Linked DNA regions of Saccharomyces cerevisiae S288C. The protein of the gene in region 2 binds, or shares a complex with, the protein of the main gene of each other region. Each region holds a gene or a part of one and is shown on either strand. Other genes may lie near its edges. A codon is read from its position in the direction of its gene.

Evidence for each region. Proteins that work in one complex are often made in the same cells at the same time.
Region 1: the proteins of RRP45 (region 2) and RRP46 are in contact, whole or in part, in a crystal structure (PDB 5OKZ), measured with the Saccharomyces cerevisiae proteins. Residues at the interface, in NP_010566.1 of Saccharomyces cerevisiae: Lys3 (codon at 1,552), Asn53 (codon at 1,702), Lys55 (codon at 1,708), His57 (codon at 1,714), Arg59 (codon at 1,720), Ser61 (codon at 1,726), Ser80 (codon at 1,783), Glu82 (codon at 1,789), Ile83 (codon at 1,792), Ser84 (codon at 1,795), Pro85 (codon at 1,798), Met86 (codon at 1,801), Ala87 (codon at 1,804), Gly88 (codon at 1,807), Ser89 (codon at 1,810), Glu92 (codon at 1,819), Asn93 (codon at 1,822), Arg135 (codon at 1,948), Asp137 (codon at 1,954), His139 (codon at 1,960), Leu141 (codon at 1,966), Asp142 (codon at 1,969), Cys143 (codon at 1,972), Asp144 (codon at 1,975), Leu225 (codon at 2,218); in NP_011609.2 of Saccharomyces cerevisiae: Ile9 (codon at 1,290), Leu10 (codon at 1,287), Asp11 (codon at 1,284), His12 (codon at 1,281), Val13 (codon at 1,278), Ile27 (codon at 1,236), Cys28 (codon at 1,233), Ser29 (codon at 1,230), Thr31 (codon at 1,224), Ile34 (codon at 1,215), Glu35 (codon at 1,212), Lys37 (codon at 1,206), Glu49 (codon at 1,170), Ile51 (codon at 1,164), Arg53 (codon at 1,158), Pro54 (codon at 1,155), Ala55 (codon at 1,152), Lys56 (codon at 1,149), Gly57 (codon at 1,146), Val58 (codon at 1,143), Ala59 (codon at 1,140), Leu87 (codon at 1,056), Gln89 (codon at 1,050), Thr91 (codon at 1,044), Cys92 (codon at 1,041), Gln93 (codon at 1,038), Leu95 (codon at 1,032), Glu96 (codon at 1,029).

What each region holds. Positions count from the first base shown.
Region 1 is NC_001139.9:675,029-678,359, forward strand, and holds RRP46 (exosome non-catalytic core subunit RRP46), read right to left. Parts: upstream 1,315-3,331; coding exon 643-1,314; downstream 1-642. Other genes in the region: VAS1 (valine--tRNA ligase), read left to right, coding at 1-472; thiamine transporter TPC1, read left to right, coding at 1,593-2,537. UniProt on the Saccharomyces cerevisiae protein: Non-catalytic component of the RNA exosome complex which has 3'->5' exoribonuclease activity and participates in a multitude of cellular RNA processing and degradation events.
Region 2 is NC_001136.10:1,019,202-1,022,287, forward strand, and holds RRP45 (exosome non-catalytic core subunit RRP45), read left to right. Parts: upstream 1-1,545; coding exon 1,546-2,463; downstream 2,464-3,086. Other genes in the region: RNH202 (Rnh202p), read left to right, coding at 167-1,219; PHM6 (Phm6p), read right to left, coding at 2,806-3,086. UniProt on the Saccharomyces cerevisiae protein: Non-catalytic component of the RNA exosome complex which has 3'->5' exoribonuclease activity and participates in a multitude of cellular RNA processing and degradation events.

The DNA.
Region 1 (3,331 bases), on a different chromosome or scaffold from region 2:
CTTGGTCTTGAACATTACCAAAGAAGCTCGTTCCTTGTTATCTGAGTACAATATTTTGAAGAATGGTAAGGTTTTCGTTGAATCTAACCACGAGGAATACTTCAAAACTGCTGAAGATCAGAAAGATTCTATTGTCTCGTTGATCAAGGCCATCGACGAAGTCACTGTTGTTCGTGATGCTTCCGAAATTCCAGAAGGTTGCGTATTGCAATCTGTTAACCCAGAAGTCAATGTACATCTTCTCGTCAAGGGACACGTTGATATTGATGCTGAAATTGCGAAAGTTCAAAAGAAACTTGAAAAGGCTAAAAAATCCAAGAACGGTATTGAACAAACCATTAACAGTAAGGATTACGAAACAAAGGCTAATACACAGGCCAAGGAAGCCAATAAAAGCAAGCTGGATAACACTGTTGCCGAAATCGAAGGTTTGGAAGCTACTATTGAAAACTTGAAGCGTTTGAAATTGTAGATTGAAGGTAGATAAAAATTAATGTAATATATATATATATATATGCTATGTATATGTAACAACGAAAATGTTAAGAATTTTAGAACATTGAATAATAACTATTTCCAAATATAAGAGGTAGTCTCCGGCATACGACATAGCATGTTGTGGTATATTATAATCTATAATGGCTATACAACTAGACGAGGTGATATATTGTCCTGTATTATTCTTCTTATATTTGTGACAAGTTCTTGACACTTTTGCTCACCCAGCTCCAGTAAACTGAACAATTGATCTTCATTAAAATCACCATTGCTGTCTAACAATAAAACGTTTTTCACGACTTTACCGCCATTGACGAACTCCAGAGCTAAAGTGTGGACAGAGAGCGAAATCTTCAATTGCTCGGCAGTGGGATCGACAATGATATCACTAGTGTCTTTGATTATTGCAATAGGGATGCTTGCGCACATACTATTTAAGGCAATTCCTGCATCAACTAAAGCCAAAAATGCCGCATTTATACAACAACTTAGCTCTCTCAGGGAGAATTCGGCTTCATCTTCACCAGATTCCAGAATTTGACAAGTTATCTGGCAGAGCTGTCTTGGGTAACAATGACGAGTGATGAGTGGGGTCAGAACTGCCCGTAATTTATCTTCGAGTACCTTCTCTCTTGTTGTGGCCACCCCTTTCGCGGGACGTACAATAATTTCTAATGCTAATTGTGTAGGCAGTTCTTGTCTTGCTTTTGGTTCAATAGGGCCTGTTACAGAACAAATAACCTTGGTGTCTTGTGATACGAATTCAGATGAACCATCTACATGATCTAATATCCCTATTTCTGCTTGGACGCTCATTTTTTTTTTTTTTTCAGCAGAATCTAATCTATTCTTGGTATTGGGCTCCTTGTTATTACCATATATGCAGAGATATTTTATGCATCTTAACTGGTTCATCTAACAAATTTTCCACTCTTTTTTCCACAATCCGATGCGCTTAAAAGGAAAAAAAAAGTAGTAAAAAGAAAAAGAGAGGTACATAATAGTCTTTATGAAGAAAAGGCGCTATTTTGTCACCTTTAACTTGGCATAGTCTGGAGCTTTATATAAACCATTCAAAGTACATAAATGTTGATATGTTCAAAGAGGAGGACTCGTTAAGAAAAGGGCAAAATGTGGCCGCGTGGAAAACTTTGTTGGCTGGCGCCGTATCCGGGCTGCTTGCCCGTAGCATAACTGCTCCCATGGATACCATTAAGATCAGATTGCAATTGACCCCTGCAAATGGGCTGAAGCCCTTCGGAAGTCAGGTCATGGAGGTGGCCAGAAGCATGATAAAGAACGAAGGCATCCGGTCCTTTTGGAAGGGTAACATACCCGGTTCTTTGCTGTACGTTACCTATGGCTCAGCGCAGTTTAGTTCATACTCCCTTTTTAATAGATATTTAACTCCATTTGGACTAGAGGCGCGCTTACATAGTCTTGTTGTCGGAGCCTTTGCTGGCATAACCAGTTCCATCGTTTCCTACCCGTTCGATGTTTTACGGACCCGACTAGTTGCCAACAACCAGATGCACTCAATGAGCATCACGAGAGAAGTGCGTGATATCTGGAAACTAGAAGGTCTCCCCGGATTTTTCAAGGGCTCCATCGCGTCAATGACAACCATAACTCTAACCGCATCTATAATGTTCGGAACATACGAAACAATCAGGATATACTGTGACGAAAACGAAAAAACGACCGCCGCGCATAAAAAATGGGAACTGGCTACTTTAAATCACAGCGCTGGTACCATTGGCGGCGTCATTGCTAAGATCATTACTTTCCCCCTCGAAACGATCCGTAGGCGAATGCAGTTCATGAATTCGAAGCATCTGGAAAAGTTCTCCCGTCATTCGTCTGTATACGGTTCTTATAAAGGGTACGGATTCGCAAGAATCGGTTTACAGATTTTGAAACAAGAAGGTGTGAGTTCGCTTTACAGAGGTATTCTGGTGGCCCTTTCCAAGACAATACCCACCACTTTTGTGAGTTTCTGGGGGTATGAAACTGCCATCCATTATTTGCGGATGTACTAAAGTTTCCAATCTTTTTTGTCACATGTACACACTCATATACATATACGAAATCATCATATCTTATATTCTTCACTGACAAAGATCGGTAGCCGCCCGGTTTTCCATTCCGATTACGGCCTGACTCAGTCGCGCCGTCTTCCTCTAATAACAAAAAATCGAAAAAAAAAGAGGAATCTCGTTGCTAGCGATCTGACGCCAACCCTTTTTCCGGTTTTTCTTAGTTGCCTGCTGCCCCGCACCGGTTTTTCTTCTTTTTTTTATCTTTTTTTCCGCTCAGTCAGCGGGGAAGGGAGAGAAGGAAACAATGAATCGGATCTTCCGATGGAACCAGCGTCAGGGACCACTACATCTGCTTGTTGTTTCAACACAACTTACATCTGCGCAAGCACACGGACTAGGAGTAACAAGAAGTAGTAAAATTGAAGAAAGCAAGGACTGCTGCAATCTCTGCACCCTTGTGGTAGCCACCCTTCTTAGATGTGGCATACTTACACTTTTTTTTTTCTTTTTTTTTTTTTTTTTTCGCCTTTTCTCATTTCTTGGCTCCTTAATAGCCAAGAAATGAGAAACGTGGGAGATGTTCAACCTCGCCTGATCCTACCAAAAAAAAAAATCGCAAAAATAAGCGGGAAAAAATGTCAGATTCTAAGTTTCAAACCTCCGGAGATGATTCATCATCACCATCACCGCCGATTTGTTGGATTGCGTGTTTACGATCCATCATTTTTCTTGTAAGCGTTTAGCTTTCTGTCATCTCTTTATCTTTTTTCCTATTTTTTTTTTTCACTAGTTTT
Region 2 (3,086 bases):
CTACAGACTCCATTCTCACAAGTTTGTCAAAAGCACGAGCGCGATGAGAATTAAAGTCAGATCTGGTTAATGATTCTGGTACAACAGCAGAAACAAATCGAGTACAAATTTAATCTTATTCTGTCGCAATAGTTGACTTTCTTTTCTGGCCTCTCGAACAAAAAGCATGACCGTTTCCAACATTGGGGGGGAAGAACGACTAATAATTTTACCAGACGATTATGAAACTTCGAAAACTATAAACACTTTTACACTGCCGCCACCTTCCAATATTACATCCAAACCTCGTATCGAGCTCTTCGAAAATATTAATGGAAAACTTTACGAAATAAGATCTTTTCAATTCGGCAAAGGGCCCTCGTATTCACATGAGGAAGATTTGGCAAATGATAAATATCACTATACTAAGGAAAATCACCCGATCAAATCAACTTTCATTGTAAATACGTCTGATCCCACCGATGGTTATGTTTTTAACTCAAGCAAAATACACTTTTGTTCTTTATACGATATTGCTTTTAGTTTGATTGGATTTTACTATAGAAACAGTGTTTCAGCAGATGAACAAGATTACTCCAATTCAAGTGATACTGGTGAAAACCAAAAAAGCAACAGCAAAACCAATGAGAAATTTCTTACGGTGCGTGATTACCATGATTTCTTAACGGATAACCATGACAAGAATTGGGAAAACATTTCTTTAAGTCGTCTCAAGAGTGGCTTAGCAAAAGTTAGTGAAACCATTGAGGAAGCTGGTGACGTCTATTACAAGATCACATCTGCAATGATAACACAATTTTTGTTAGGCAAGGTATCAAAAATTGTAGAAAACTTTCCTCCAAGTATCCCTACACTTAAAAATGCCCCAACGGAAATAAAACAGTGCTACAAGGTAGTTATGGCTACAAATCTTTTAGTTTCCCTGATTCCAAGGGCGGCCTACCATAATTTACTTACCTTTTCACCTACAATGGATAGTGGTTGCCTAAATCCGGATATAAAAGCTAGCTTCATAGAACTCGAAAACTACGAGACTACGAACGAATTACAGAATGCTGAAAGAGAATTACTGATGAAAAGTGCCATGAATGTAGGCCTAAATTCGAATGGCAGGGTTTCATTGCCAGTGAAAAAAGTTACCAAAAAAATAGTTCAAAATAAAAAACCAAAAGTAGCCATAGGAAAAGGGGCCATTGATGGATTTTTTAAACGTAAGTAGCTAGTATCATAATTAAACAGCAATTTGAATGCTATAACTCGGTGGTGATGACCTCAGTGCGAGATAATTACACAATATTGTCACTACCAACGAATGGGCTACCTTTTTTTTCCTTTCTCGAATTCAAGAAAAAATTAACAACTTTTCCCTCGATGATGTTAACAAATGTCTGAATATAAAGGAATAGGAAACGGTTGCTAGATTGTATTTACCTTACCAACTTTCAAGTTTTTTTTCTAACTTCCTAACTTTCAGTCTCGATACATTAATCAACAGGACGTAGTGATTGCAAAATTGTTCAGAATATACATTAGATTAAAAGACAAATGGCCAAAGACATTGAGATATCCGCATCCGAGTCAAAATTTATCTTAGAAGCACTGAGACAGAATTATAGGTTGGACGGCCGCTCCTTTGATCAATTTCGTGACGTGGAAATAACGTTTGGTAAAGAATTTGGTGATGTTAGCGTAAAAATGGGCAACACCAAAGTTCACTGCAGGATTAGTTGTCAAATAGCACAACCATACGAAGACAGGCCATTTGAAGGATTATTTGTAATATCTACAGAAATATCTCCTATGGCTGGTTCTCAATTTGAAAATGGAAATATCACGGGGGAAGATGAAGTTTTATGTTCAAGAATAATTGAAAAATCTGTTAGGCGGTCGGGCGCATTGGACGTGGAAGGACTATGTATCGTTGCTGGCAGTAAATGCTGGGCTGTGAGAGCTGATGTACATTTCCTGGATTGTGATGGTGGATTTATTGACGCTTCGTGTATTGCCGTCATGGCAGGATTGATGCATTTTAAGAAACCAGATATAACTGTCCATGGCGAGCAGATCATTGTTCATCCTGTTAATGAAAGAGAGCCAGTTCCACTAGGTATACTGCATATTCCAATATGTGTAACTTTTTCTTTCTTCAATCCTCAAGACACCGAGGAAAACATAAAAGGTGAGACTAACTCAGAAATTTCCATCATTGATGCAACATTGAAAGAGGAACTACTGCGAGATGGTGTATTGACGGTTACGCTAAACAAAAACCGTGAAGTGGTACAAGTTTCCAAAGCGGGTGGTTTACCAATGGATGCGTTGACGCTAATGAAATGTTGTCACGAGGCTTACAGCATTATTGAGAAAATAACTGATCAAATACTGCAGCTTTTAAAGGAGGATTCAGAAAAGAGAAACAAGTATGCAGCCATGCTTACATCTGAAAATGCCCGCGAGATCTAATATTAACGAAAAAACTGAAATAAAAGCAACGCTTATACATATACATGCATGCATTAATATATGTATATATATCGGTACGTATAGATTGTAAAATTACACTTACTACTAAAGGCAGTATGAAAGACGCCCGCAGTTTTTTTCCTACTGTTTTCTTGACTGCGGTGTTCAAAAACATAAAAATCATTAAATTACTATAAAACAAACGCATACTGCGAAGAAAAAAGGCTCGGCTATAAATGCATATGAGAAAATATTATCTTTTGCCTCCCTGCTTAATTTCTGAAGGCATGTACTATCCAAAAGAAAAATCTTGAAAGAAAACAAATCCCATTATTCTTATTATTAAAACAAAAACTTCGTCATCGTCATCACATAAAAAAGACCTACCATTGTCAAACTGTACAACAGCAACACAATAATAATGACGATGATGAGTTCCTCGAGAAACCCTAGAACGGCGTTATAACACTGTTTGAGGGTATTACTTTTTCCACTACTCTCGTGGCGCGGAAGACCTGCTTCCAAATCTACTGTGTAATCAATACACTTAACCTCCTCTCTCTCCCCTTGTGCGTCAGAAAACTCTGCCTGTCTTATTTCCTTCTCCTGTTGTCCTATTTTCA